4 linked regions of the Saccharomyces cerevisiae S288C genome follow. The gene in region 3 interacts genetically with the main gene of each other region. Each region holds a gene or a part of one and is shown on either strand. Other genes may lie near its edges. The genes, in order: PRM15, ACF2, PET494 and REG2.

What was found.
Region 1: mutations in PET494 (region 3) and PRM15 together harm fitness more than expected from each alone (negative genetic interaction), as found in Saccharomyces cerevisiae (one large-scale study listed by BioGRID).
Region 2: mutations in PET494 (region 3) and ACF2 together harm fitness more than expected from each alone (negative genetic interaction), as found in Saccharomyces cerevisiae (one large-scale study listed by BioGRID).
Region 4: mutations in PET494 (region 3) and REG2 together harm fitness more than expected from each alone (negative genetic interaction), as found in Saccharomyces cerevisiae (one large-scale study listed by BioGRID).

Annotation. Positions count from the first base shown.
Region 1 is NC_001145.3:820,834-829,065, reverse strand, and holds PRM15 (phosphoribomutase PRM15), read right to left. Parts: upstream 6,304-8,232; coding exon 4,435-6,303; downstream 1-4,434. Other genes in the region: DNA-binding transcription factor CAT8, read left to right, coding at 1-2,038; ATR2 (Atr2p), read left to right, coding at 2,715-4,337; FCP1 (protein serine/threonine phosphatase), read right to left, coding at 6,612-8,232. UniProt on the Saccharomyces cerevisiae protein: Major phosphoribomutase that converts ribose 1-phosphate to ribose 5-phosphate. Involved in ribose salvage via the pentose phosphate pathway.
Region 2 is NC_001144.5:425,230-433,815, reverse strand, and holds ACF2 (endo-1,3(4)-beta-glucanase), read left to right. Parts: upstream 1-1,799; coding exon 1,800-4,139; downstream 4,140-8,586. Other genes in the region: SPE4 (spermine synthase), read left to right, coding at 91-993; RMP1 (Rmp1p), read right to left, coding at 1,043-1,648; DPH6 (diphthine--ammonia ligase), read right to left, coding at 4,430-6,487; PUT1 (proline dehydrogenase), read right to left, coding at 7,200-8,586. UniProt on the Saccharomyces cerevisiae protein: Cleaves internal linkages in 1,3-beta-glucan.
Region 3 is NC_001146.8:702,291-708,108, forward strand, and holds PET494 (Pet494p), read left to right. Parts: upstream 1-3,848; coding exon 3,849-5,318; downstream 5,319-5,818. Other genes in the region: diphosphomevalonate decarboxylase MVD1, read left to right, coding at 1-795; AGA1 (Aga1p), read left to right, coding at 1,409-3,586; RNA methylation protein TRM112, read left to right, coding at 5,498-5,818. UniProt on the Saccharomyces cerevisiae protein: Required for the expression of the mitochondrial gene for cytochrome c oxidase subunit III (COX3).
Region 4 is NC_001134.8:335,042-342,622, forward strand, and holds REG2 (protein phosphatase regulator REG2), read right to left. Parts: upstream 3,159-7,581; coding exon 2,142-3,158; downstream 1-2,141. Other genes in the region: DNA-binding protein REB1, read right to left, coding at 1-1,777; RFS1 (flavodoxin-like fold family protein), read right to left, coding at 3,679-4,311; YBR053C (regucalcin), read right to left, coding at 4,634-5,710. UniProt on the Saccharomyces cerevisiae protein: Regulatory subunit, binds to type-1 protein phosphatase. Functions with HEX2/REG1 and SNF1 protein kinase to regulate growth. Might regulate SNF1 directly or indirectly.

The sequences.
Region 1 (8,232 bases), on a different chromosome or scaffold from region 3:
TGCAACCAAACCTTTGCCTAAGAATGTTGATAATGCCACAAAGAAGAAACAGTCAATGTTCAACAACGACTCTAAAGGCGCAACCAACCAGGACCACATGATATTAGATGTTGATATGACTTCTCCTGCTATAAGGACATCATCCTCATATATCATTTTACAACAAGCTACCAATGCAACGCTTACGATTTTCCAGGCCATTAATTCCATGTATTTACCTTTGCCATTGAATGTATCAAGAACGTTAATCAGATTTTCTTTGCTCTGTGCTAGAGGTTCTTTGGAATATACCAAAGGTGGTGCGTTATTCTTAGATAATAAAAATCTTCTCCTCGACACCATCAAAGATATCGAAAACGATAGGCTTTTGGATTTACCTGGAATTGCCTCTTGGCACACGCTGAAACTGTTTGACATGAGCATCAACCTGTTGTTGAAAGCACCTAATGTTAAGGTTGAAAGACTGGATAAATTCTTGGAAAAGAAATTGAATTACTACAATAGATTGATGGGGTTACCACCGGCCACAACCACATCCTTAAAACCATTATTTGGCTCTCAATCGAAGAACAGCCTGGAAAATAGACAAAGAACACCTAATGTCAAAAGAGAAAACCCAGAACACGAGTATCTTTATGGAAACGATAGTAATAATAACAATAATTCTGAAGCGGGTCACTCTCCAATGACAAATACAACTAATGGTAATAAGAGATTAAAGTATGAAAAAGATGCAAAACGAAATGCAAAAGATGGCGGTATATCCAAGGGGGAGAACGCACATAATTTCCAGAATGATACCAAAAAAAACATGTCCACCAGCAATCTGTTTCCATTTTCGTTTAGTAATACAGACCTTACTGCGCTGTTCACCCATCCTGAAGGACCGAATTGTACGAATACTAATAATGGCAACGTGGATGTGTGTAACAGAGCTTCTACAGATGCCACGGATGCCAATATAGAGAACTTAAGCTTTTTAAATATGGCACCATTCTTACAGACCGGTAACTCCAATATAGGTCAAAACACGATTGAGAATAAGCCTATGCACATGGATGCGATATTCAGTCTACCAAGTAATTTAGATCTAATGAAGGATAATATGGACTCTAAACCGGAACAATTAGAACCCGTTATTAAGCAAAACCCTGAGAATTCAAAAAACAACCAATTTCATCAGAAAGGAAAAAGTACGAATATGGAAAAGAATAATCTCTCTTTCAACAACAAGAGTAACTACAGCCTAACAAAGCTAATGAGATTGCTGAACAACGATAATTCTTTCTCGAATATTAGTATTAACAACTTTTTATACCAAAATGATCAGAACTCCGCGTCAGCGGATCCGGGAACAAATAAAAAAGCCGTTACAAATGCAGGTGCCAACTTCAAACCACCTTCAACTGGCAGTAATACCAGCCAAGGCAGTATCCTTGGAAGTACAAAGCATGGAATGGACAACTGTGATTTCAACGATTTAGGTAATTTTAACAATTTCATGACAAATGTCAATTATTCTGGGGTCGACTATGATTACATTGTAGATGCATCACTTGGGTTGGCTCCTTTATTAGTGGATACGCCCGATATCTCAAATACCAACACGACGTCTACTACGTCAAATCGAAGTAAAAACAGCATCATCCTAGATACGACATTTAACGATGACTTGGATCGGTCACGCATGAATGCCAGAGAAGTATTGAATCCTACCGACTCAATTTTAAGTCAAGGGATGGTATCCTCCGTAAGTACGAGAAATACCAGCAATCAAAGATCTCTTTCATCGGGCAATGATTCAAAAGGTGACAGTAGTTCTCAAGAGAACTCAAAGAGTGCAACTGGCAACCAGTTGGATACACCTTCTACACTGTTTCAAATGAGAAGGACCTCTTCAGGGCCCTCGGCGTCCCACCGTGGTCCAAGACGGCCTCAGAAAAATCGTTACAATACAGATCGATCAAAAAGTTCTGGTGGCGGAAGTTCCAACACAGATAATGTATCTGATTTATTCCAATGGCAAAACGCCAAATAATTCTTTATTTCATAGTGTAATATATTCAAAACGGAATCCTCTAAATATTCATGAAACAAATAACATTCTTACGTATAATTTCTTAATAGGGCAATTGCCGTAGCTTTCGTTCACCTTATGAACAGCCAAATTTATTGTTGGAAAAAAGAAAAGATAACAAAGACGACGCCAAAACACATCTTGATGCAGCGCCCATGTTCCTCAGATTTATTAATGGAACTACATTTCAGATTAGGAAATTTTTTTGCTAGTTCCCATGGTTACGTTACCGGAGGACCATCTGACAGCGCGGAGGCTGCACGGAAGGGAAGAGAAGGCAACAGGGGTGCGCATAAATAGCGCCGACAATGCGACGCCAAAAACGTGGCTCGTATATTGATTAAGTAAAATCTTTATTTTTCCTACACAAATGTCCGTAGAACGCGTAAACTTTTTTTGCTTTGTTATAGGAGTTTTATTTATGAGATAACAATGGCATGACGAAGATTATGCTATAGTATTGCCATGGTTACGAACTAAATTTTCTTTCATATCAGTTTTTCGAGGAAATACTCAGAGACATTTGGCTTGGACAAAAATAGGTATATAAGGCAATGGAAATAGATCTTTTAACCATGGCTAGTTCTGGAAACCAATCTAAGCACACCAAACATACAACTCAAAGATCTGATTGGAAATGTTTTCAATCTTCAAAAAGAAAACGAGCGTGCAGGGCACGGACTCTGAGATAGATGAGAAAATTACAGTGAAAGCAAAAGATAAAGTAGTGGTTTCCACAGAAGATGAAGAGGTGACAACAATTGTTTCTTCAACCAAATCAACTCAAGTGACCAATGACTCACCATGGCAGGACCCCACTTACTTCAGTTCCTTTGGGAAAGAATTAATGTTCATAGCGACATGCATGTTGGCACAGTTATTGAATCAAGCGGGCCAAACACACGCTCTCTGTATAATGAACGTTCTTTCGAAATCCTTTAATTCAGAAGCAAACAATCAGGCATGGTTGATGGCATCTTTTCCCTTGGCTGCTGGGTCGTTCATCCTTATTAGTGGGAGGTTAGGAGATATTTATGGATTGAAGAAAATGTTGATCGTTGGTTATGTCATCGTAATCGTTTGGTCTATAATTTCTGGTCTCTCCAAATACTCTAATAGCGACGCGTTTTTCATTACGAGCCGTGCGTTCCAAGGAGTTGGAATTGCGTTTATTTTACCAAATATTATGGGGCTTGTTGGTCATGTTTATAAGGTCGGTTCATTCAGGAAGAACATTGTTATTAGTTTCATCGGCGCATGTGCTCCAACAGGCGGCATGTTTGGTGGATTATTCGGGGGGTTAATTGTCACTGAAGACCCCAATCAGTGGCCTTGGGTATTTTATGCCTTTGGTATTGCAACGTTTCTAAGTTTATTAATGGCATGGTACTCCATCCCAAACAACGTTCCCACAAATATTCATGGGCTTTCGATGGATTGGACTGGGTCCGCGCTTGCCATTATCGGGCTGATTCTTTTCAACTTTGTCTGGAATCAAGCACCAATAGTTGGCTGGGACAAACCTTATATCATTGTTCTTTTGATAATATCTGTGATATTCTTGGTTGCTTTTTTTGTTTACGAAAGTAAATACGCAGAGGTTCCTCTTCTACCACGTGCAATGACGAAGAACCGTCATATGATTATGATATTATTGGCGGTATTCCTGGGATGGGGGTCGTTTGGTATTTGGACATTCTATTATGTTTCCTTCCAACTAAATTTGAGGCATTACAGTCCTGTTTGGACCGGAGGTACGTATTTCGTTTTCGTAATTTTCGGATCCATGGCTGCATTCTTCGTTGCCTTTTCTATCAAGAGATTAGGACCAGCTCTACTACTATGTTTTTCACTAATGGCATTTGACGCTGGTTCCATAATGTTTAGTGTATTGCCAGTGGAACAAAGCTATTGGAAGTTGAACTTTGCGATGCAGGCTATCTTATGTTTTGGTATGGACCTGTCCTTCCCGGCATCATCCATTATATTGAGTGACGGGCTTCCAATGCAGTATCAAGGTATGGCTGGATCATTAGTAAACACCGTTATTAATTATTCAGCGTCTCTATGTTTAGGTATGGGAGGCACTGTTGAACACCAAATTAATAAAAGCGGCAATGATTTGTTGAAAGGTTACCGAGCAGCTGTATATCTGGGAGTTGGGCTCGCTTCTCTTGGTGTTGTGATTAGTGTGACTTACATGCTTGAAAACCTTTGGAATCGACACAGAAAATCTGAAGATAGAAGTTTGGAGGCATAAACTAGTTAAATGTATATTGATATAAGTGTAGGTACAAACAACAAATATAATGGCATTCTTTAAGTCGCTTGGTCTTAATGTATAGGTTAAAATAGTATCAAAATTTTGTAACTATATTCATTTCATCTGGTCTAAACCATTCACGTCTCAGCACATTCCAAGTCAATTTCGCCAAGAAAGAGGCTCTTTGTTCTTCATTTGCGCAAGCTTCAATATATACTTTAAGTTTTGGTTCTGTTCCGGACCCGCGAATAGTGAAGCGGATATGCTCATTCTCACTACCGTTACTTGGTCTAGCAGATACTGTTATCATTTGTGATGTAGGATCGACGGGTAGAGTAGGTTTATGATTTATGGTATCCGATTGGTAACCAGTGGTTAAATCTCGATAGTAAAGTACTTCGATTTCTTCACCAATAGATGAAGGATATGACGCGCCCTCAGGAGTGTAGACATTCCTGATGTAGTCAAATATATCTTTTGTAACAGTTGGATTTGGAACGACATAATAGCCATTGTACTCTTTGAACACGCCATATTTTTTGAAGCCATTTTCTAAGACATTTAGCGGGTCCAAATTGTGGTCTATTTTCCACTTACAGTAGGCTTGCAAGAAGACAATGGATGCACTGATACCATCCTTATCATGCTCCATTGCTGGAAACATGTAGCCTATTGCTTCCTCGAATCCAAAAGGAACGTAATAGCCTTTCTTTTCCAAGAGTATGGCACGATTTCCGATCCACTTAAATCCTGTTAATGTATCCTCATAATGGAACCCTTCTATTTCTGCCATTTTTTTTATCATTTGTGAAGACACTGTTGAATTTAACATAGCCAACGGATGAACGTGCTGAAATTCTTTGTCCATACTTTTATATTTCTGATATTCATAAAATGCAAAAAGAAAACCGATTTCGTTACCTGTTAGTTGTCGCCATTCGCCTGACTGCATATCTTTAACAGCAACAGAGAATCTATCAGCGTCAGGGTCGTTGGCAACAAGTAAGTCAATGTCATGTTTTTCAGCCAAGTTTATACCAATGTCTAAAGCACCTTTTTCTTCAGGGTTAGGAAATCCAACAGTTGGGAAAGAAGGATCTGGATTTTGTTGTTCAGGAACACATAGGTAATCCTTACCTTCTACCAGGCACAGTGTTTTTTTTACGATGGTGCTGAAAATGTCAAATCCAACCCCATGCATTGGAGTGTAAACGAACCAAGGTTTGGCTTTTACTTCAAGCTTTAATGGGTTGATTTCTACCAGATTTTTAGAAACCTCCTCTAAATATAACTTCAGCATTTCTTCTCTGGAATACATCAATTTCCCTTGTTTGAGAGCCTTATTTAGAACATCGTCGAAATCCCACACATTGGCCCATGGTTCTAAATTTGCGTCAATGGAATCAGAGATGGCATGATCGTGAGGTGGAATGATTTGGCATCCATTGGAATAGTATACTTTATATCCATTATCCATTTTTGGGTTGTGACTTGCTGTTATCATTACGCCAACGGAGGCCTTTAGCTTATCCACTGCAAAGGGAACTAAAGGGGTATGAACAAATTCGTGGTCAGGATTCAAATAATGTACCTTAAATCCTTTTAAAAGAAATGCAGCAGCAGTAGCTCTAGCGAACTCCTTAGAATGGAATCTATGATCGTGTCCCACAACAGCTACCAAATTGTCTGGAAACTGTTGTCTTACATAAGTTGCCAATCCCTGAGACGCTTGTATGACTACTAAAGTATTCATCCTGCTAAAGCCAGCTTGCATTTGCGATCTTAAACCAGCAGTGCCAAACTGAATTCTAGAATCAAATCTTTTGTGTAACTCATTCCAGTCGGATTTTTTGCAGAGAGCGGTGACCTCTTCTATAGTTTTTGGGTTGCGGTCTTGCTTAAACCATAATGATATCGGATCTTTCAAGTCAGATGGTACGGTTTCTAAAATTCCTTGCAACATTTTTTGAAATTGCAGCAGCTAATGGCTCGAGAGTACTGTTGAGTATTTAGGGGGAAAGGAGAAAGAATCAATTAGTTCTCGCTACAGGGAGAAAACAATACAATATATAATGTTCAAAAAAAAAAAACGAAATGAAATCAAAAAAAAAAAAAAAAAAAAAAAAAAAAAAAAAAGGATTTCAGGATATCAAAATAAGCAAAAATATTGTTGCTATTTATCGATTTGTTACAAACGTATATATAATATGAACAATTATAGGTACAAAGACCAATGAGGAAAATGTGTGGAAAGATACGGCATCTGAGCTGCTAATCATCCAGCATATCCATCAACTCTTCCTCCAACTGCGAATCGCTGTCTTCGTTGTCATCCCCTTCTCCTTTATGTTGTACAGGACCATCTTGAGAAGGTTCCGCCTTGGTCTTCTTTTGTGATGTATCATCATGATTGTCCTCGATGCTCCTCTTTCTGTCAATGCCTTCCGAGTTGTTTTCGTCATCACTTTCGTCGTCGTGGTCGTCATCTTCGTCGTCGTCGCTAGCTGTGTCCGGAATATCTTCATCGTCGTCATTGTTTAACCATGAAGTACCAGCAGCGAATAAATTTAGATTTTCTTGTGATGTCAACATATGCTGTTGTTCCTGGGTCTCCTCCAGATATTCTTGTCTTTTTTGTAATTGTGTTTGAAAGTTTTGTAATTCCTCGTCGGAGATGGGGCTGTCCACGATTAACGTGTAGGGTTTTTCATCCACCTTTTTCCAATTTACCAAACACTCAAATATCCAATCTGGGTGAACAATTTTAATCTGTGGGTTGAACTTTTTCGCTAGACGCGCTTTATAAGTGCTAGGGTTCTTGGTGATTAAATGTGTCGTCAGGTAATCTATATCTGGAGTGGAAGTGGCACCAAATGTACTCGTCCATATCACTATGTCCGACCTTTGAATATCGGTCCCGAGGGGTATTAATCCTGAAAAAACAAAATAGCAATTTTGGAAGACTTTTTGCTTCAAACTTGGTATGATTTCCATCAGATTTGGTTCTGGCTCATTTTGTTGTGAGAGCATATCATAATAAGTTTTGTGAATGTTTGATAGCGTACCCATTAAGTAGTATAGTTCATCATCGTCATCAACTAGTAGTTTTTGATCATGCAGGTGTTTTTGTAGTTTGGCCAAGGGTCGATTTTGTTGTTGGACTTCTAAAGATGCTGAATATTCTAGTTTCTTGGTCAACTCTTCTTTGGATTCGTTCGCAGGAGGCTCCTCAGCAGTCGCCAGTTGATGGTTCAATTTTTCTTCTTGGCGTTTAACTTCTTTATCTATCTTTTCTTGTAGTTTTTTTTCGTTATCCATAATATCCGTCAGCAGTTCCTGAGATTCTTGGCTCTTCTGTCTTGTCTTCCTCCCTAGTTGTAGCATTCCTGTAGATTGTTTGGGCAAGAAATTAGAATTAATGTCACCTACACCAACGAAGAAGTTATAAGGAACAACTTTGATCAAGTTTGGACACCAATTCCAAACATCACCTCTGTCGTCAATAACTACAACCATTGACTGGTCAGTGGGGAAAAGTTTAGCTAATGATTTAGTTGTTAGAGACCCATTTTCATCACGCGACAGAATTCTATCGCCAAACAATTCGCCCGTAGGGTCCACGATTTTGGCAATTTGCAAGGCATAAGCCCTTGTAGCCATTGTGTAGATATGCATTTCAAAAAGAGGCGCCACTTTAGCGAAAAATTCCTTTAAACCGGGCCTTACCTTCACGTAGTACCAACATTTTCTTACGGGAGGCGGTCTCAGCATAGAACCATCGTCATTCATGTACATAAGTGGGAGTACTAACTCCTCATCCAACGTAAAGCTCTTGACGTCTCTTAATGTTTCAAAATTCGGATTATTGGGGTCGTTCTTCCACTCTGCAATC
Region 2 (8,586 bases), on a different chromosome or scaffold from region 3:
TTTTCAAGTTGCTGCTGATTTTAGTTAAAAATAAAATATCAAAACGCCGATGAGACAGGCAGGATAAAGTGACAGATTCAGTTATACATTATGGTTAATAATTCACAGCATCCTTACATCAAAGATGGATGGTTTAGAGAGATTAATGATAAAAGTTTTCCGGGCCAGGCCTTTACTATGACCGTGGACTCAATACTTTATGAAGCCCGCAGTGAATTTCAGGACATCTTAATCTTCCGTAACAAGGTATACGGTACTGTTTTGGTCCTCGATGGTATTGTCCAATGTACGGAATTTGATGAGTTTGCCTATCAAGAGATGATCACCCACATTGCCATGTTTGCGCATTCTAATCCCAAGCGTGTACTTATCATTGGCGGTGGGGACGGAGGTGTCTTAAGGGAAGTAGCCAAGCACAGCTGTGTAGAAGATATCACTATGGTAGAAATTGACTCATCAGTGATCGAATTATCCCGTAAGTTCTTGCCCACATTGAGTAATGGTGCTTTCGATGACGAAAGGTTGGACTTGAAACTTTGCGATGGCTTCAAGTTCTTACAAGATATAGGTGCTTCCGACGTCCATAAGAAATTTGACGTCATTATTACAGATAGTTCTGATCCTGAAGGTCCAGCTGAAGCGTTTTTTCAAGAGAGGTATTTCGAACTATTGAAAGATGCTTTAAATCCTAATGGCGTTGTTATTATGCAAAGCTCTGAAAATTTTTGGTTAAATTTAAAATACTTACATGATTTGAAAAATACAGCCAAAAAGGTATTTCCTAATACAGAATATTGCTATACCATGGTTCCAACCTATACATCTGGCCAATTAGGTTTAATTGTTTGCAGTAATAACGCCAATATACCGTTGAACATTCCGCAAAGAAAGATATCTGAGCAAGAACAAGGGAAGCTGAAGTACTATAATCCTCAAATACATTCTAGTGCGTTTGTTTTGCCTACTTGGGCAGACAAGGTCATTAATGAATGATTTATTAGCATTGATATTATTATTTTAAAAAGTCTATTTACTTGTATATTTATCCGAATATGCCATCAATGGCTGATTTGTTCTTCTTTTTCCTTTTCTTTTTCTTCTTACAGTTCTCTGTCAGAGGCTTTGGTATAGACGTTATCACTAGTTCGTTTTCTTGAACGTTGTTGCCAATATCTTCATCTATAATTTCTCCAAGTTCTTCGACATCGTTCACAACCGATTTTGCTTTTGTTCTCGGTAAGTTCTTTATTAAGCATCCACATCTTATAAACTCAGTTTCATTAATCTCCCATAATCTCATATACAGTGCCCTCACATTTGCCAGCAATGTTACTAGTGTACAACCCAACGTTACAAATTGTCCCAGCGCAATTACGCCATTGAACTGCCAGTACCATCTCTTTAACTGTCTAAAAAGTGCTCTCTGTAATAGCCTGTGCAACTTGACCCATTCAACATCTTTAAGGCGTTTGGCTTGTAATCTTCTCGAGCTAAAAAGCGTTATTATTTGTCCACAATTTCTTTTCATCTCATTGAACGATCCATACCAGCTAGCCGCTCTATGTTGATTTTTGTTCCTATGGTTCAAGAGCAATATTAACCGATATTCTTGCTCCAGAGATCGTATCACATTATCCATCTCATCCATTTTGTTTCTGCTCTTTTTTTTTTTGTGGATATATCATTCTAGTACTCATTTCTTTGAAGTTTTTTTCTTGGAACCATAAATAAAATTCATGAATTTCTGAAAAGTGCTAGTATCATAAAAACAAAAATAAATAAATACGAGAAGTAAAAAGATGTGTTACAGTAGGCAAGCCATTCCTCCACCTGTTCCTAATAGACCTGGCGGTACTACCAATAGAGGACCTCCTCCCTTACCACCTCGCGCAAATGTTCAGCCACCAGTTTGTTCTTCTGAGAACTCCAGTAAACCTCGAGAAAATAGGGTGGCAGGTGAATCACTGCGCACACCAAGCAGTTCTAACCCTTTAGCTGACAGCCAGGTGAATAGTGACAATATTTTTCAATCACCTGTCCTTTCTAACTTAAAAGCTCCTCCTTCCGTCTTCAACAAAGTTCAACACCCGGTACCAAAGCCGAATATTGATGATCAATCTGTTGATCCATTGGAGACAAACAAGTTCTACACAAACATGTTATTAGACGATAATACACAACCTATATGGACACATCCTTATTCAATTTGGTTTTCTCGTGATCCAGAATTGTTTGGTTTGGCCGCCAATCATACTTTAGCGTCTCAAAGGGTTTTTGATACAACTACAAATCCTCCCAGATTCTACTTCAATCCCACAAATATAAAATCATTTGTATTCAAGGCCAGGGAATTTGTCTCTTCAAATGATATCAAGCTTGAATTCCGGGATATGAAACATATGTCCATGTGCTTACTAATGTCTTTGAGTAGTTCCCAGTTTATAGAATTCCCGCTGGTTCAGGGGATGGGCTTTGTCACGGCTATTTACCACGATTTGGGTTTTGAATTAAGAAGCGCCGTTGGTTTCAGGAGCTTAGAGCGCATAAGCGTGAATGAAAGATATGGTAAATATAATATACAACTTGAGAATAATAGGAATTGGATACTTTATTTGACCTCACCTGATTACTCTTTTCCACAAGATTTTCAAATTTCATTACTCGACAGCAATACAATAATATCATCTCATAAAATCAATGGTCTTATCTGTCAATTATCTGCAGACTCCGTCCCCAGTATTGACATGGCAGCGGGCTGTTATCCAGTATACTGTGACCTATCAGGGCAAACTGTTGATGAACATTTCACAAATTACAGATTTAACTATACGGTTGCAGGCTACTCGCAGTCTGGAACTACTCTAATGTATGCTTTACCACATCATAAAGCGGCATTCACACCAGAAATGCAGGAACGTGAAATTGCCTCAAGCCTGGATTCCACAGTTAAAGGCTTAATGACTGGTTATCTCACAAACAGTTTTGATATGCAGGTTCAAGTACCTCAAGAATTGGGCTTTGAACCTGTCGCGTTATCTTTGAATAAGAAGGCAGATTACAGTCAAGAAAAGCTATCTAAAATTCGGGAAGCTGCTGTTCAAGAAGTTCAATTGAGTGACCCTCAACAAGAATCAAACATAGATTCTATGTATTTCTCTGGTAAGATACTTGCAAAGTATGCGTGGATTCTTTATGTGACACATTACATCCTTCATGATGAAAATTTAACAAAAGAATTATTATCTAAACTGACTATTGCAATGGAGAGATTCATCAGCAATCAGCAAGTCTTACCTTTAAATTACGACGTTAGTTGGAAAGGCATAATTTCATCAGGCTCTTCTAGCCAAGACTTTGGTAACTCTTATTATAATGATCATCATTTTCATTACTCTTATCATGTCATAACGGCTGCCATTATCTCTTTAGTCGATTCTGATTTAAGTGGAGTTACTAACAACTCCTGGTTAGAAAATAATAGAGATTGGGTTGAGTGCTTAATTAGAGATTACTCTGGTGTTGACAACGATGATCCGTACTTCCCTCAATTTAGGTCATTTGATTGGTTTAATGGCCATTCATGGGCCAAAGGACTATTTCCAAGTGGTGACGGTAAAGATGAAGAATCTACTTCAGAAGATGTCAATTCTTGCTATGCGATAAAATTGTGGGGGTTGGTAACTGGAAATTCTAAGTTAACTGACATAGCGAACTTACAACTCGGCATCATGAGAAATGTTTTCCAGAGCTACTTCCTATACGAAAGCAATAATACTGTCCAACCGAAAGAATTTATTGGTAATAAAGTTAGTGGTATTTTATTCGAAAATAAAATTGATCACGCCACGTATTTTGGCATGGAGCCTCAATACATTCATATGATTCACGCCATTCCTATAACATCAGCATCTTCATGGGTCAGAACACCAAATTTTGTCAAAGAGGAGTGGGAAGAAAAAATGCAGCCGATAATTGATCAAGTGAATGACGGTTGGAAAGGAATAATCATGTTAAATATGGCTCTGCTTGATCCAAAATTTTCGTACGACTTTTTCAGCCAACCTGATTTCAACAGAAATTTCCTAGACAATGGGCAAAGCTTAACTTGGTCTTTAGCTTATTCAGGTGCTTTTTCTTAGGGGTCAGAAATATATACAGTGTTAGTAGCATGGTACAAGTGTTACGATAAGGTATTTTATAGAATGATCATTTTTTTATATGAATATTGGTTCCTAAACCATCATCAATAATCAAATTATTACAGAACACACCTTAATTGTGCGGCGTATTCTAAATTTTACGTGTTCACAATATGGTGTTGTTCCTATGATTTGCTAACATATTTGGGATCTGTCTATCATTTACACCGCCAGGAGCGTGGACAGCGTATATCTATTAAGTTTATAAAATATAAGGCCTACATTTGGAGTTAGGAACGAATATGCAACCCAAAGCGGTGTTCTTTACCACGGTAATCAAAAAGTTTCTCCACCGGATAGTATCCAATGTGATGGTGGAAAGTGATGATTTCTTTGGGATTATAATAGAGGGTAATCTGGGCTGATTTTGGGGTTTTTTCCAAGATAAGTTCTAACTCCTCTCTACTATCTACAAATCCCGTAATAAAGTTTCTATTATATCCAAACGCACTAACTGTAGTGTTATGAAAACCTTCAATATTCAAATTCAATTTCTGGAATACGGTTGAAACATCATCATTCTCTTCCCTTTCTTTCTTGTCGGAATCATTATCGTCCACTATTAATCTCTTACAAGTAACACCACCAAATTCTGCAACAGCGCCTCTAGGTAATTCAGAAATCTTTACAAGAACTAGGCATTTTTCAACATCATCAGATTTGTCCATCCATAGATCTGATCTATGATTCATATTTGAACAATAAAACGCCCATGTTTTGATGACAGAGTCGAGAACCGATTCGTCTGAAATATAGCATGTCATGAGTAACTTTTCTTGAGCTCCTATTGTTTCACACAAAGTATCAAAATGTTGTAATGCCAAAACTATTTGGTCAGTGAGAGGTGTTCCTAATATTTCCATTGACTGCGGTACTAGTCCGATTTGCCCACTGATAAAACTGACTTGGTTTGCATCATCGTTTAACCAAGTACTTTGGGAATATGGTCCGATATTACATGGAGCCCAATATGAACGGCCTTGAACATGTAGTCCGCCCTTATTCTTGTTGATTTTTTCTTTGCCTGTATTTTTTACATCAACAACAACTGATAACTGTACGTGACAATCTTCTGGCAAGCACTTCGAACCTACGCATGCTCTTGATGGTGGCAAAGGTCCGTATTTTGACAAATCTAAAAATTCATTGTATATTTTGTTGATTTTTCCGAAATTAGACATATCTCTAATTAATAATGACGCAGATAAAATATGATTCCGTGGAATCTGGTTGGAATGCAGAATGTCGGCTAGCTCAGTAAAAATATCTTCACTTTGCTTCTCGACCGTCTCACTTTTACGTGATTGTAGGTTAGAGATGTACAACTTATCATTGGTTTTATTGATTGTCGTTTGTGGTAGAGCATTCGACATGTGATTTTCAAATCTTTGTTCTCCTGTTTTAGCTTGTTGCTTTGGCAAATTTTGGGTTAAATCTTGCCAATTATTACCAAAAATCGAAGGTACAGGTAATTGATCTAATTGGTTGAGTAAAAAACTTTTGCTCAAATTACGCGGTTGAAATTTTACCTTTAACCTTGCATTGTGAACTTCACCATCGCTACATTTGACAATATCAATTAATTCCAAGTATCCATGTTGGAAAAAAGGGGCATCCAAGACCATTGTCTCAAACTCCCCACCCTCTCCACAGATATGAACTTGATAAAGTTGGTTAAGTTTCTGTAACACCGGTTGCATCATAGGCAAGGACATTCCTAAATGTTTCTCGTTCAATCCAATTGCTGCCACCTTGATTATCCTGGCGTCAAATTTATTTCCTGAATTAGTATCGTTTTCAACATTGTTAACATCCTTGGACATAAGGCACATTTCACCCATTAGTTCGGCTTGATCCCTTTGCCATAAATAGCTTAGCACTACTAGACCCAATCTGGAACAAACATTTTCCACTCTGGTCCTCTGGTAAGACGATAAGATGGCACCTACACTAACAGCTTCTAAATCTGGAATTTTATCTTTGACAGTTCTTAGAAGTTCAAATAGTTCTTCAATTTCATCATCCTGAGTAGCAGTATAATTCAACTCGACGTTGTTAGAAGTGTTCCGTAATATTGAGCGTCTAAATAGTGGAACACCAATACATTTAGAATAATAGTCTATTAAGTCATGTCCTACTGTTTGGAACATGAAAGAGTCTAATTCTTGCTCTTCTGATTCTTTTGGGTATATATTTCCCAGGGCAATCAATTCATGGTTGTTCTTCAGGCAGTGAAAAATATTGTAGAACGAGTCCTTCCCACCTGATATTAATGCTATAAACTTCATGATACTGACTTATTGGGCTTTGAATTTTGATATAGCTTTATCAAAGATTTCCGTTTGAACTAGCTATTCATCATCCATCAGATATAAGTGAAAAAAAGCTTCTTTAATAGAAGCTTAAAAAAATTCTCCGCGACGGGGAATTGAACCCCGATCTGGCACGCGACAAGCGCCCATTCTGACCATTAAACTATCACGGATAAGAAACACTGGAAAACTATGTATCCCAAAATCCCATACGTTGGTTTACTAACACTACTAGATGTATTATTCATAGGTACCCCAAAATCCTTACAAAGAGACAAGGCTGAGTGTATCAAGCAAAACCGCTTTAAATCTGATGTTCTGCGCTTTCTCCCTTTGATTAGATTCAGGTCTTATGTAGTTTATAGAAGATGAGTACCTTTCTTGTGCATAAGAGTTGATAATAAGCCTGACGACGACAAGCCACTTTCCTACCGATTTAGGATTGGCAAAACATCTGGTACTATTCGAACCCATAATCAATAGGAAGAAAGCTTTACCAACAGATTGTTATTTAAGTGGTTCAAGTATATTAACTCTTGATATCCGTGCGTTTACTTTACTATTAGTGTTATTATCATTACTTATATATAATATGTATAACTAGAACATCAGAATTATGTATGCATACTTTTTTTTTTTTTTGGTTTTTTGGTTTGTCTTTGAAATTGGAGTATATATTATAGTCCTCTCATAGGCCTACTCTTTTTGGAATCGACTTTGCTATGGCCTTGATTAATGGCCAGCCATTATCAGATCTCACAGCATCCCCGTTTTCTTGCAATCTTCTCAAAAGATAATCTTTAGTTTCCAATGGTGGGCCCCATGGGACATACTTGATTATGTTTTTAGCGCCATGGTTGGTAATTAGGTCATAGGTAACATTATCTGCCATACCTAGTAATTGCCCCAACACAATGTTCGATTTGGCATAAGAGTTGTCTTGGGTAGATTTTAGCAAATTAGTAACGAGCATTTGGGATTGGTAATTATGAGAGGCGACAACCAAGTGACCAAAATAAGAATCCTCGCCATTGATGATTAAATCATTGACAACTTGAGTGATGATACGATCGTAATTTTCGTCAGTGCCCGTTTTATCGCCAAAGATAATTTGGTTACGGTTTTTTTCAGAATGAATATAAGCACCACGAACCAGTTTCAGCCCAAGCTTATAGCCGTTTTCTTGGGCCAGCTTCAATTCGTGCAAAATATGGTCACCAGAGTCCCTTAGGTACAACTGCCAAGTACCGACACATGATATCAGTTTAGATGAAGTGGGATTGAATTTTTGAAATAAGATTCTCTGTAATTCGTAAACACCATTCTCCTGCAAATCATACTTCTCAGCGTCAATAGTGGAAACCATAAATGGGGCCTTTCTTTCAGGGTACTTCTTTAACAAAGATTGATTTAGTTCAAAAATCTCTTTTGTAATCTTAGAGCAGTTCTCGATCAGCTGATCCCTTTGAGCCTTGTAGGCGGGATTACTGAAATTGTACAGAACCTCGTGAGGGTTATCGACCAAAGCAGAGGGTTTTAGAGCGATATAACCTGGAGCAATGTCATTGATTGGCTTAGATTCCAGCTGGCCAATAATATTGGGCAGTAGGATGTTGTGGACAGAGCTGATTGTTTCCTTGACAATTTGGTCTACTGGAGTACTGGACAAACTCTTTGTACCTTCGGAATTTTCAATAGTTAATGAAAGCATCATGTTCGATATACCTCTCTTCTGCAGACGTTTGCCGCATTCGATGACCTCTTTAAAGTTCTCACCGCCACAGTATAAAGAAGAGACGAAGAATTTTATTACTGGGATGGGGATGTAAGGGAACAACTTAATGATCGTGTTCAGGAAGAAGCTGTTCAAGGTCGCAATACCGATGAATCCCAGTTGGAATAGTTCCTTCTTGGGAAGTGTCTGTAGAAAATTGATTGAGTTAGGAGGTGCCATCACACTATTGCCGTTGGCATTGGCGGCCGGAGTTTCAACCATCAGATTAGCAGCCGTGTTAGAGTGTGTCGGAGTCTTTGACACATAGGACCTCTTTATCAAAGGAAAGCATAGAGAGGGT
Region 3 (5,818 bases):
GCTAAGTTATACCAATTACCACAGTCAACTTCAGAAATATCTAGAATAGCAAGAAAGGGGTCTGGTTCAGCTTGTAGATCGTTGTTTGGCGGATACGTGGCCTGGGAAATGGGAAAAGCTGAAGATGGTCATGATTCCATGGCAGTACAAATCGCAGACAGCTCTGACTGGCCTCAGATGAAAGCTTGTGTCCTAGTTGTCAGCGATATTAAAAAGGATGTGAGTTCCACTCAGGGTATGCAATTGACCGTGGCAACCTCCGAACTATTTAAAGAAAGAATTGAACATGTCGTACCAAAGAGATTTGAAGTCATGCGTAAAGCCATTGTTGAAAAAGATTTCGCCACCTTTGCAAAGGAAACAATGATGGATTCCAACTCTTTCCATGCCACATGTTTGGACTCTTTCCCTCCAATATTCTACATGAATGACACTTCCAAGCGTATCATCAGTTGGTGCCACACCATTAATCAGTTTTACGGAGAAACAATCGTTGCATACACGTTTGATGCAGGTCCAAATGCTGTGTTGTACTACTTAGCTGAAAATGAGTCGAAACTCTTTGCATTTATCTATAAATTGTTTGGCTCTGTTCCTGGATGGGACAAGAAATTTACTACTGAGCAGCTTGAGGCTTTCAACCATCAATTTGAATCATCTAACTTTACTGCACGTGAATTGGATCTTGAGTTGCAAAAGGATGTTGCCAGAGTGATTTTAACTCAAGTCGGTTCAGGCCCACAAGAAACAAACGAATCTTTGATTGACGCAAAGACTGGTCTACCAAAGGAATAAGATCAATTCGATATGTAACATTTTTCTTTTCTTTTCTTTTCCTTTTTTTACAATAGCTAATTTACGTTTCCCTACGGTATTGGTCGGAACGACCAAGCTTCAATTTATAAATATCTTAATTTTAACAGCAGTTACCACTTGAATGAGAAACTTTTTGATGCCTACTCTTTTGCTTTTTCATATCATGACCTCCCTACATGCTTCGGAATTTCCTTATTCGTAGCTGTCTAACAGCACCACTTAGCACAAGTACGTCCACCCGTTTCATACTTAAAGATCTCAGCAGCCACCCAATCTACATTTAGGGTACCTGTCACATATCTTCTCAAATTTTAGGTTAGCTTTCAATTGTAAAGTCTCTTTTTGGATATTGCACGTTTCAAGTCAAAACGCGGCTGTAACATAATTTTCTGAAACAATATTAAAACATAGTAATGACTTAAAACAAGCGACTATCGCAAATAAGCAGTTCCCAGCAAGCAATTAAAACGTATATAAGCGCAGAATAATGATCTATCATCAATAATTATCGTGAACTTTTCCAGTATTTACGTTCATCTTTGAAAAACGGCGAGCATTAACAATAAAAGCTAAAAAAACCAAAAAATTTCAGATGACATTATCTTTCGCTCATTTTACCTACCTGTTCACAATATTGTTGGGATTAACTAATATTGCCTTGGCATCTGATCCAGAAACGATTCTAGTGACGATAACCAAGACAAACGATGCAAATGGGGTTGTTACAACTACAGTTTCACCCGCGCTAGTCTCCACATCCACTATCGTTCAAGCTGGCACTACGACATTGTATACGACTTGGTGTCCATTGACGGTATCCACTTCATCTGCTGCCGAAATAAGTCCTTCAATATCGTACGCTACTACCCTATCCAGATTTAGTACTTTGACATTATCTACAGAAGTCTGCTCCCATGAGGCATGTCCTTCGTCATCGACGTTGCCAACCACCACCTTATCTGTGACTTCCAAGTTCACTTCATATATTTGCCCTACTTGTCACACAACCGCTATCAGCTCATTATCCGAAGTAGGAACTACAACCGTGGTATCATCCAGCGCCATTGAACCATCAAGTGCCTCTATAATCTCACCTGTCACCTCTACACTTTCGAGTACAACATCGTCCAATCCAACTACTACCTCCCTAAGTTCGACATCTACATCTCCAAGCTCTACATCTACATCTCCAAGCTCTACATCTACCTCATCAAGTTCGACATCTACCTCATCAAGTTCGACATCTACCTCATCAAGTTCGACATCTACATCTCCAAGTTCGACATCCACATCTTCAAGTTTGACATCCACATCTTCAAGTTCTACATCTACATCCCAAAGTTCTACATCTACCTCATCAAGTTCGACATCTACATCTCCAAGCTCTACATCTACCTCATCAAGTTCAACATCTACATCTCCAAGTTCTAAATCTACTTCTGCAAGCTCCACTTCCACTTCTTCATATTCAACATCTACATCCCCAAGTTTGACTTCTTCATCTCCAACTTTGGCTTCCACTTCTCCAAGTTCAACATCTATTAGCTCTACTTTTACTGATTCAACTTCATCCCTTGGCTCCTCTATAGCATCTTCATCAACGTCTGTGTCATTATACAGCCCATCCACACCTGTTTACTCCGTCCCTTCGACTTCGTCAAATGTTGCAACTCCTTCTATGACTTCTTCAACTGTTGAAACAACTGTTAGTTCACAAAGTTCGTCTGAATATATCACCAAATCCTCAATTTCTACTACTATCCCATCATTTTCCATGTCTACATATTTCACCACTGTTAGTGGAGTCACTACAATGTATACGACATGGTGTCCTTATAGCTCTGAATCTGAGACTAGCACATTAACCAGTATGCATGAAACGGTTACAACAGACGCTACAGTCTGCACTCACGAGTCTTGCATGCCCTCGCAGACAACAAGTTTGATTACATCTTCTATAAAAATGTCCACTAAAAACGTCGCAACTTCTGTAAGCACCTCAACGGTTGAATCCTCATATGCATGCTCCACATGTGCTGAAACGTCACACTCGTATTCTTCCGTGCAAACAGCTTCATCAAGTTCTGTAACACAGCAGACCACATCCACAAAGAGTTGGGTAAGTTCAATGACAACTTCGGATGAAGATTTCAATAAGCACGCTACCGGTAAGTATCATGTAACATCTTCAGGTACCTCAACCATTTCGACTAGTGTAAGTGAAGCCACGAGTACATCAAGCATTGACTCAGAATCTCAAGAACAATCATCACACTTATTATCGACATCGGTCCTTTCATCCTCCTCCTTGTCTGCTACATTATCCTCTGACAGTACTATTTTGCTATTCAGTTCTGTATCATCACTAAGTGTCGAACAGTCACCAGTTACCACACTTCAAATTTCTTCAACATCAGAGATTTTACAACCCACTTCTTCCACAGCTATTGCTACAATATCTGCCTCTACATCATCACTTTCCGCAACATCTATCTCTACACCATCTACCTCTGTGGAATCGACTATTGAATCTTCATCATTGACTCCGACGGTATCTTCTATTTTCCTCTCATCATCATCTGCTCCCTCTTCTCTACAAACATCTGTTACCACTACAGAAGTTTCCACTACTTCAATCTCCATACAATACCAAACTTCATCAATGGTAACAATTAGCCAATATATGGGCAGTGGATCGCAAACGCGTTTGCCATTAGGAAAGTTGGTCTTCGCCATCATGGCAGTTGCTTGCAATGTAATTTTCAGTTAATATCAGAACAATTTAATTCATTTATATAAACATATACAATCAATCGAATAAAAATACAACAATGTAATGAAAACGCTCTCTATTGATATGTATTTGCTGACGCTTATAAATTTATTAAAGTTTTATTTTAAACCGTTCTAGTGACTTCACGCGGGGAGATACATCCAATAGTAAATTACAAAATAAGGAAAGTATAAAACAAACGGATAACAACAGTAGCTTGGAGACAGCAAAGGCACCCGAGCAGGCGTGGAAACACACGATGCATTTGAAAAAGGGGAAGAGGAGTATTAGCACAGTATGGCGACTTTTATGGAAGCGTTTTTATTCCGTAAACTCTAAGACGAATATGCATTTTTCTCGAAGTAGGAAGAAACCAGTGACAAACTTCACAAGGACAAACGGACTTCTCCTGAGCTGTAATGGTGATACATTCCCATATCTGCGTACACTGTGGAGATACTTCAATGCGCCTGGTAATTTGATGTTTGTCACAACTAATATTGTCGCATTTATGGGCATTGTTACGTATAATACGCTGGTTACTATCAGCAGTGAAAGAGCATTCGAAGAGCAGATGATGGCGGCACAGGTGAGCCTGGCGAAACAGAGAGAAGAGCTCGAGACTACGGCCCTCAGCTTGCCACGAGATATTGAATTGAGGGGTGAAGAAGATGATATTAAATGGGAGCAACCTGATGTAGCACATGTCCGGGAAGATCCCTTAGTCGAGGAGCAGAACGCAAAGTTAGACACCCCTATAAAACAGTATACTTTAGGAGATTTGATTTTGAATAAGAGGGAAAATGTCACTGATTATGACTCGCAGCGTGCGAAGGCATCTATATTCCACATGCTATATGCTTATATGCTGTATCGAGATGTTATTCAACCCACGACCATGACTCAAAATAACAACAGCGAGGAATGGCGGCGTGAAGTCGAGCTTTTGACTAAGGGAAAAGAGGTACAAGGTACTCATCGAAGGATAGACGTGTTCTACGACCTGTGGAATAAAAATTTCGATAAGATAGTGACATCACCTGAGAAAGTGCAGAATTTTCAACTGCCGAACTGGTCTAAATACCCAACGATATTGAAATTCATCTGCACAGAACTTCACGACAACAGTTTGAAGACCTTGGGTGAGTTTAAGCAATTCTATGGAAAGGTGCGATCTAACGAGGTAAAAAAACTGTTGGGTCTTTGGCTGTACGACCATTCCTTCCTTTTCCCCCATAATATCTACGACAACAGAACCGAAGAAGATTTTTACGATATATTAATTAATGACTCCATGCAGGATAACAGGATATTCCAGAAATACTCTTCAATTGTAATGAATCCCTACAACGAACGTACTCAACTTTTTTTCCCTAATGTAAATTCTCCATCTGTCAACAAGCCAGTACCGAGCATATCTCTGGAAACATACACACGACTACTCAAGGGATATATCAACTTGCAAGAAACAGGCTGCAAATACGACTATAATGACAATATATTCAAACTAATCAGCATCCTCAAACTAAATTGTTTCCTACAACGCAACAAGAAGAAACACGCAGGGCCAACCGTCAGAATCCTACTGCCGAGAGATGAAGACCGCTCTCAAATACTTGGTACCATTTCGCAGGCAGAGAAGAGAACCTGTTATCAAATTCTAAGCAAAAATAGGGACGTGGTTGCGCTGCTGAAACGCATTTCTGATATCCAGGCGGACTCTTCTTAATAAAACATGTAAATATGTACCTCCCAAATCACACTCATCATCTCATACGAAACTGTATCTTTTTGGGTAAAATTTTCATCGATGAGCTTTAAAAGCAAAACTACTTCACCAGCAATGAAGCTACTGTAGCATCCTATGATCTCTTCGGCTCTACACATCATATTACTAGCCTAGTCAACATGAAGTTCTTAACCACCAACTTCCTAAAGTGCTCCGTTAAAGCCTGTGACACCAGCAACGACAACTTCCCCCTACAGTACGACGGCAGCAAATGCCAATTGGTACAGGATGAATCTATCGAGTTCAATCCAGAATTCCTTCTGAACATAGTCGACCGCGTAGACTGGCCTGCAGTGCTCACGGTTGCTGCCGAATTGGGAAACAACGCCTTACCTCCTACCAAACCATCCTTCCCATCTTCGATCCAGGAGCTCACCGATGACGACATGGCCATCCTTAATGACTTGCATACTTTACTGCTACAGACGTCCATTGCCGAA
Region 4 (7,581 bases), on a different chromosome or scaffold from region 3:
CAGCAGCTGCTGCTGCAGAAGCTGTATCATCATCGTCTTCATCGTTATTGCGATGATCATTCTGGTCATCTTGCAGTAAATGCTGTTCTTCTTCCAATAAGTTTGGATGCAATTGAGACTGTTGTTGCTGGGCTTCTTCCAACATATCGCTGATAACCTTTTTCAGAAGCTCTTCTTCTTCAACGGACCATCTATTTGATGCTCTATTGGTACCACATTTTACGTAGTTTCTCCAACGATCCCTACAATCTTCTGGCATTCTGCCTAAAGTTTTACCTATTTCTGCCCATTGACCTTCTTTTTCTGCACATAATTTAGCTAGCTCTTGTTCCTCCTCCGCGGTCCATTTACCACGTTGTTCAAAAATGTGATATTTTCTTCTCATGTGTTTGTAGATAGAGGAGCTAGATCTATAGGGTAAGACTTTGTAAATATTATTCCAAAAGTTGTCCTTTGGCCTGTCGGAACTCCATATCCTTTCACAAACTTGTTGTCTAGTCAAACGTTCAATGGCCTCATACTCGTTAATAAATCTTTCTAAAGCGGCGTCTTCGGCTTTATCAAAAGCTTTGCTATTGTTAGACCTTGAAGTCGATGGCGTTGCTGAGGATGAGGATAAAGATACCAAAGATGATGCCTTTGTGGCGGCTGATTGAAGTAGTTGAGATATTTCTGAATTGTCCACGCTGCCAGCTTCATTATCATGAGAGGGAGATTTTTGTTGGTGTGGTTGAGTATCTTGAGAGATAACTTTGGGCAAGACTTCCATATAATTTCTAGATTTGTTGAGGGAACTATCCAGCATAGAGTCTTTCTGCAGTTCAGAGTATTGCTTTGTACTATTTGATAAATCATCTGTATCATCATTGTGATTCTTGTTCTGATGATTCAAACCGTGTGTACGCATCAAATGATCTTTAATATGCTTTAATTTTTCGTTATCGTCAGTATCAGCCGCAGTATTCAAGTATTGCTGGAAATCAGGATGTTGGGTAATCGAATCAGCGTCGATAATGGCCTTATGGACCAGTTGATCACGATCAATCACATCATTATTAGTATCGTTGTCATCTGCATCACCCAAGGTGGTTAATTCCGGATCTACGTTTCCAATTTGTCTGTCATCGTCATCATTATTGTTTTTCCGCTTTTTCTGTGAATTCTCATGATTATTTCCGTTATCATGCTGTCTTTTACGCGAATTGCTATCGTTCGCAATACTGTTATTATTATTGTTATTTTTCGATAGAGTGTAAGCAGCAGCGACGGCGGCCATCGCCATAGATTGATGATCATCGTCCACACCAACACCCGCATCTTTCTTATTCTTGTCGTCGTCGTCATCCACGACTATGTCAGATTGAGAAAAGTGATTATTACTGTCATTGCCGTTGTCAGTGTTATTATTGTTTTCGTCATCTTCGTCGTCTTGTTGATTATGCGCTGTTTGCCTTAAATACCAATCCATAACTGCGTTATGTTGTTCATTGGAGTTGGCATGATCCACATTCGAAGATGATTCGTTCGCATTCAATGCGCTAATATTTTCAGAATCATCATTATTATCCTCGTTTCTATTACTGTCATCATTGTTATTAACATCAACATCACTACTACTTTCCACAATATTCTGCTTTTTCGAGTGTTTGTTTTCCAGATCCTTCGTATGCAATTGAGGGTCATGGTTCTGGTGATCTAGACCTACACCGACATATTTCAAAACAGCCTCTTCCACAGACTCTTGATTTGCGTTTTTATCGTTATGACCTGAAGGCATATTGATTGAGCTATAAATATTCTAATTCAGCAGCAACACGTGAGTTCAAACTAATAACGATAGTGTGTAGATAACCTTGCTTGTGATGATGTTTATTTATTTACTTTAGGTTGGGTCCACAGCAGGGTAATAACAGCCTGAGTTTTGTTGTTTTATCTTGTGTGGTCAAGAAAGCTGCCATTTGTTTGTCGTTGTCCTTTGTGAGGGTAGGTCCCTTGGCCGCCTTTGGTTTGCCACCCGGCATGGGCCCAATTTGAAAGACGGGTAACAAAGTTGTTGCTATATATCACGTGATCAATTTTTCCGAGGAGCTTCTAGAAGAAAATGAGACACAATTTCAATGTATTGAAAGTTTACGTAAAATTTATAGGAGCAGGTTGGGTATACTGGTGTCTATGTAAGCGTCAATGTCATTTTCTGTTTCAGCGTCAGTATCAGTATCAGTGTCAGTTTCCGACTCGAAAATGAAGGTCGAATGACTTGAAGTTGACGAAGGTTTTACGGGGGAATGATGACTTATGTTGGATAACTTGAGATCGGAGTCAACCCGAAGCACACTACTGAAATCTGTTTCTCCTGCCTGTAACAAAACATTTCTTGGAACATCGCGAACATCGTGCCCACGCTGATAGTCTCCACTATTACTACTGATAATGGCAGTGGCAGCGGCAGTCGTAATAATTGCGTCACTCGCGACGTAAACGCTGTTATAATCATAGAAACTTCGCTTACTTGCTGCGTTGCCAATACAGGGATCTAGTTCAGACTTTGAACAAGGGCGCTGTTCATCAGTCGAATTCAACCGTGTAGAAGGAAGCCTTTGTATGAAATGCTCATCAGTTATAATACACTGTTCAACGTTATCGTTAAATTTGATATGCCTCTCTCGTGGCTTGCCCATTATATCTCTCCTTTTGCGTGCCTTAAACCAGCTTCTCCAAAAAAGGTTCTCCAATCTTTGATCATTGTCCACTTTCTTGTGTTTTTGTAACGGTAAAACATTTTCATTTTTTACAGTGTTGTTCGAGCTTCTCACATGCTTATTATTTTTATTGTAATTGTTTTTACTACTACAATTGATAAACTTGATGAATTTCCATAAATTTAAATTCAAGATTAAACTTCTTTGCTCGTGAAAGTCGAAATTTTTCTTCTTTACTGCTGGCAACATGCACATTCTTTTCTTGTTTATTTTCCACTGTTTGGCATTCAAAGACTTGATTTTTTTTAAGCAATACGTACCATTTGCAGCGGCGGGAGGATATCCCATATCGTTTCTATTCATCAAAGTTCTGACCGCCTCAACGAATTTACTACTTTCTTCTTCCTCTGGAGGGTCCTGGAATAAGTTATCCAAAGAGTCGCAATTACTCAAAGTCATTCTCACACACTTTCTTGTTCCTATTTTTTTTTTCTTATTCCAATATATTATTTTATCAGAAGACAGACAGCAAGAACGACAGCCTAAGTTTCGAGACAACGCTAAATTTGACGGACATGCGAAGACATGCCATATATAACAGTACGTCCAGGAAGAAGCTGCAACTCAAGAAGCAATAACTATTTTATGCATTATTAGTTAATTAAAGGGGGTATGGTGTGGCTAAAAACGAGTAAAAAAGCAGCTTGTTGCGATGTTAGTAATGATAACTATAAGGTTTCCGTGTTGACACAATAAGCGTATAAATTTAATCACTCCCCCCACGTTTTTTTATCCAGTGCTGCCCCGCCACATGCAATCGGGCCGTCGGAAAAGCAAGAGAAGGACAAACTATCGGGCAAATGGCCTGGAAGGGACCTTCCCCATTGGCCCTTGACTATAGTCCTTCAGTCCTTCAGTCCTTCAGTCCTTCAATGTTACAGTTATACCATATCGTACTTATGTAAAGATATATACGGTTTTACAAATCTTTGATACGGTCGTAAAAGGCCTTCCCTTGAAGTTGGTGAACTCTTAGCTCGGATAAACTGGGAGGTCTGCCACCGTCGATTCCAGAAACACATCCTGCGCCCCAGGCGCAAGACCCGTTCACATCTTCAACGTCGGTCAATTCCTTGTATGCGTTCTTATACCCCAATGGGACATAAATGACACCATGATGGACCAGAGTACTCATTGCGTTCATGATACACATTTCTGTATCACCCTTGCCGCTTATTGCGCCTGAAACAAACAAACCGGCAATTTTGCCATGGAGAGAACCCTTTGCCCAAAGCCCACCAGTATTCGAGTCCCAAAAGCTTTTCCACTCCGCGGGGAAGTTTCCAAACTTAGTAGGTATTCCGAATAAGTAGTAATCGTACTCAACCAACGTTTCTCTTGTTAGGATTTTATAGGAAAAATCTGCATTAGTTTTGGCGACTTTGGCTGCCTCTTTTCCCTCTTCTGTCGCATATTCAGTTTTATAGCTGACGTCTGGCACTTGGAAAATCTCAGCCTCACCACCAGCTATCTCTATACCTTTTTTTTCATTTTCTGCTAATGTGGCAATTATATCGTCCACTGAATAAATCAAAATAGCGACTTTCGGCATTATCTATGTGGCGTAGTATGTGCTTATAATAGTGAGTAGTATGCTGGAGGTCTTGATGTTCGATGTTTCTCGAGAAAAGTGTGATATAAAATGTGGTTTCTTTTTATTTCTTTTCTTTTCCGCTCTTTTATGTATTTTTGATTGTCCGCCCCTTAGGTGTTCCCTCCTTATAACTAGGCAACCAAAATGGAACGGCTATTATTCGATGTATAAGGACAAGTTTGGGAGCTTCGCTTCAATTTGCCCATAAGCGGTGTCATATGACGCTAGTTACATGCGCTGGATACGTATGCTGCATATATATAAACATATGTATATACACCTAGTGGAGAGGTTGTCGCTTTGTAGATTCCAGAGGAACATTTCCGTCTAGCACGTTTGGAATTTTGTAGATGCAGCCACCATTCTTGTCAGTATTGGTTCTTACAGCATCGTTGATTTCTGCATTGGCAGTGGTCACGAAGAGATCTTTACCAACAAAACAACAACATGAAACTCTTGGTGTCTGCTCCGGCAAAATGAACTCCTTCAGCAATTTTCCGTTAGTTAAATCGAACATTTGAACCTTACTGGTGGACCAGACAGTGATAAACAGAAACCCAGAATGTTTTCCGTCTTTGCTAAACCAAATTGCACTTCCATCTGGTTCAGGAGACTCAAAAGATTGATTGTTGGAGTTCTTCACGTCAATTAACTCGTCACGTTTTAGCAAGTCGCCACCAGGACATTTCCAAATAGTGAAGTTTAAAGAATCAGTCACGTACATCGTCTTTTGATCACTTTCATCCCAGTGGATCGCGTTAGGAATTAACAAGCAATTCCAAACAAGCTCTATCTTGTGAGCTAATAGGTCAACACGAAGCAAACACCCAATAGGTTCCAAATCAAATGGAAAATCGCTCATTAGCCCCACATAAATATATTTTCCATCTGGCGAAACGTTCCCATCATTAGATCTCAACTTATATGCTCTGTCTGTACTCAATTCAGGACATTCGGAATACAAAATGACATATTCCCATTCACTTTTGCTAAAATCCAATTTTCCTATGCCAAATTTACTACCAAATAATACTTGTTTGATTTCATTTTGTGAAGCCCCATCAAGTATTGGAAATATACAGCCCACGGATTCTTTTAATTCATCTGGATTGGGAGGGTACTCAATTGACGCATTCTTGCCATAATTGGCTCTACTAATGGAAAAAAAAGAATGACTGGATTCAGGCTGTTCTATGTCTTCGACTTTATGAACCTCTCCTTTAAAAATATCAACCCACAACAGTGTACCGGTTTCCTTAACGAAGGTTATTCCTTCACTATGTATGGCACCGGGAACGTGATAATAAGGTTTTAAATCATGCAAAATAATTTCTTCAAAATCGCCAACACTACTCATTTTACGAAAAGTGTCTAGTTGCTCAATGCATATAAACTTAATCTAAGAATCTTACAGGACATCTTCATATATGTCCATATGCTTTGAATAAGCATTGGCTTCCCCTTAAAGCCCGACCGGGTAAACTTTCACCTAGCTGTTCTTGGCGACCATTAAATAATTTTGAATGCATTTCTAGGAACAAAATCAAGTGCAAGCTACAGCTTTACAATTATAGAATCTGTTGACCAAGTAAAATGGATGAGAAAATTTACGTACGATTTTGTTCCTTATCCATTCAGCTTCTCAGTTAGTCAAGAGGTAGCTGTAGCGGCTTAACGAAAAAGGTATTAAAAAGGGACATACTTTTTTTATATCTTTTCCTTTGGCGTTCACAGTTACTCTTTTAGAACTCCTTGTTGTTGTGTAATGCATTTACCCATTCCCGATATAACTACCACTTTGGAGAACTGTAGACAAAGACCGCTCTTACTGAGTATACATTTTACTTTCGTAGACCGACTTTTAACTCTATTAGGAAAAGCAATTGACTTTTGAACTTCGATGACGATTGTGCAAAATACAAATCGTTTCAAGCGGTGTTCGGAATAGCTCACAGAAATGGCGAAGATATGTTGAAAAATACATACCGATGTCATTTGTGAAAAACAAAAACACAAGCTACAATTTGTATATTTACTCAATTACATATACCAATTGAGTAATAATTAAACAAGAAGGCAAAAATAAACTAAAGCAAAATAGTATACCATCTTTGGTTCCTGGACCACATTTTCTCTCAATATTTTTGAGATGTTTTTCTTTACTTTGTTTTAAGTAGTCTTTCCATCTCCCTTCAACGGAAACAAGTGCACGCAACATGTTATTTTCCTGTTATCCGCCCTGAGCAGTTTTCTTCCCCGGGTGGCAACCATTCTCCAACATTAGACAAACTTTACAAAGAAGACACCCTACCCGGTTGCCTCCAAAGCCCTTCTTTCTTAACGCGAGTACCGCTTTGGGAGGCCTCATCTTGGTTGTGTCCTCGTATGGCAGCATCTGCCATTGAGCGAACCCTTTCCCGTTTTACGCGCATGGCCTAGACCGATCTTTAGCAGACATGCCGAGTGAATTTACCTAAGATTTCTAAGGACTCTTCTGCATGTTTCCGAAAATCACCGGAAAAACCTTCGGTTTTTTTAGACGAAAACTAGGAAGTTGCTTAGCTTTCCTTGTCGTCTTCAAATCTATATGCCATCGGAAGAGAATCAGAAGAGAAGATCACGACTTAAGAGCTTTGCTGTTAAGATAGCAAGAAAGCTTGCCAATAGGCAGTTATGTAACCTAGTTTATCTACACCTTCTTTGATTAACTTAGCTATGTAGGCCGGTGTGTTTGTTCATATCACGGCATACGTTAACACAATGTAAATCTTGCTTTGGGTTGACTGAGGGAAATAACTATAGACATCACACCAATGGCTAAGGGATATTTCGACCTCGCTATGGGTTCTAAATGAGGGAATGGAAAAAAAGGGTAAATTGAAAACAACCTACCGATTTTGGTACCACTTCCGTGATTTTCGATTCTTCAATTTCCGCATAATTTGCCTCAAATAGGAAATCTGAGCTGTTTTTTTCTTACCCTCGAGTGGTCGTTCTGCGGACTTTTCTCCGGTCCAATGCATGAATCCCTTTAAGAAGCATGAAGAAAAAAAAAAATAGCCTCTTGTAAAAGCAAAAATGCCTTTCACTATTTCTGTGTAAACGAATAATTTCGTCATCTTAGTAGTTCACTGGATAATTGTGCTTTCCAATCAGATTAGTTAGTAAAACCCCTAGAAAATTTCAATGTTAGATCGGGATGATTCCTCATCGGGTTGTTGCTTATTC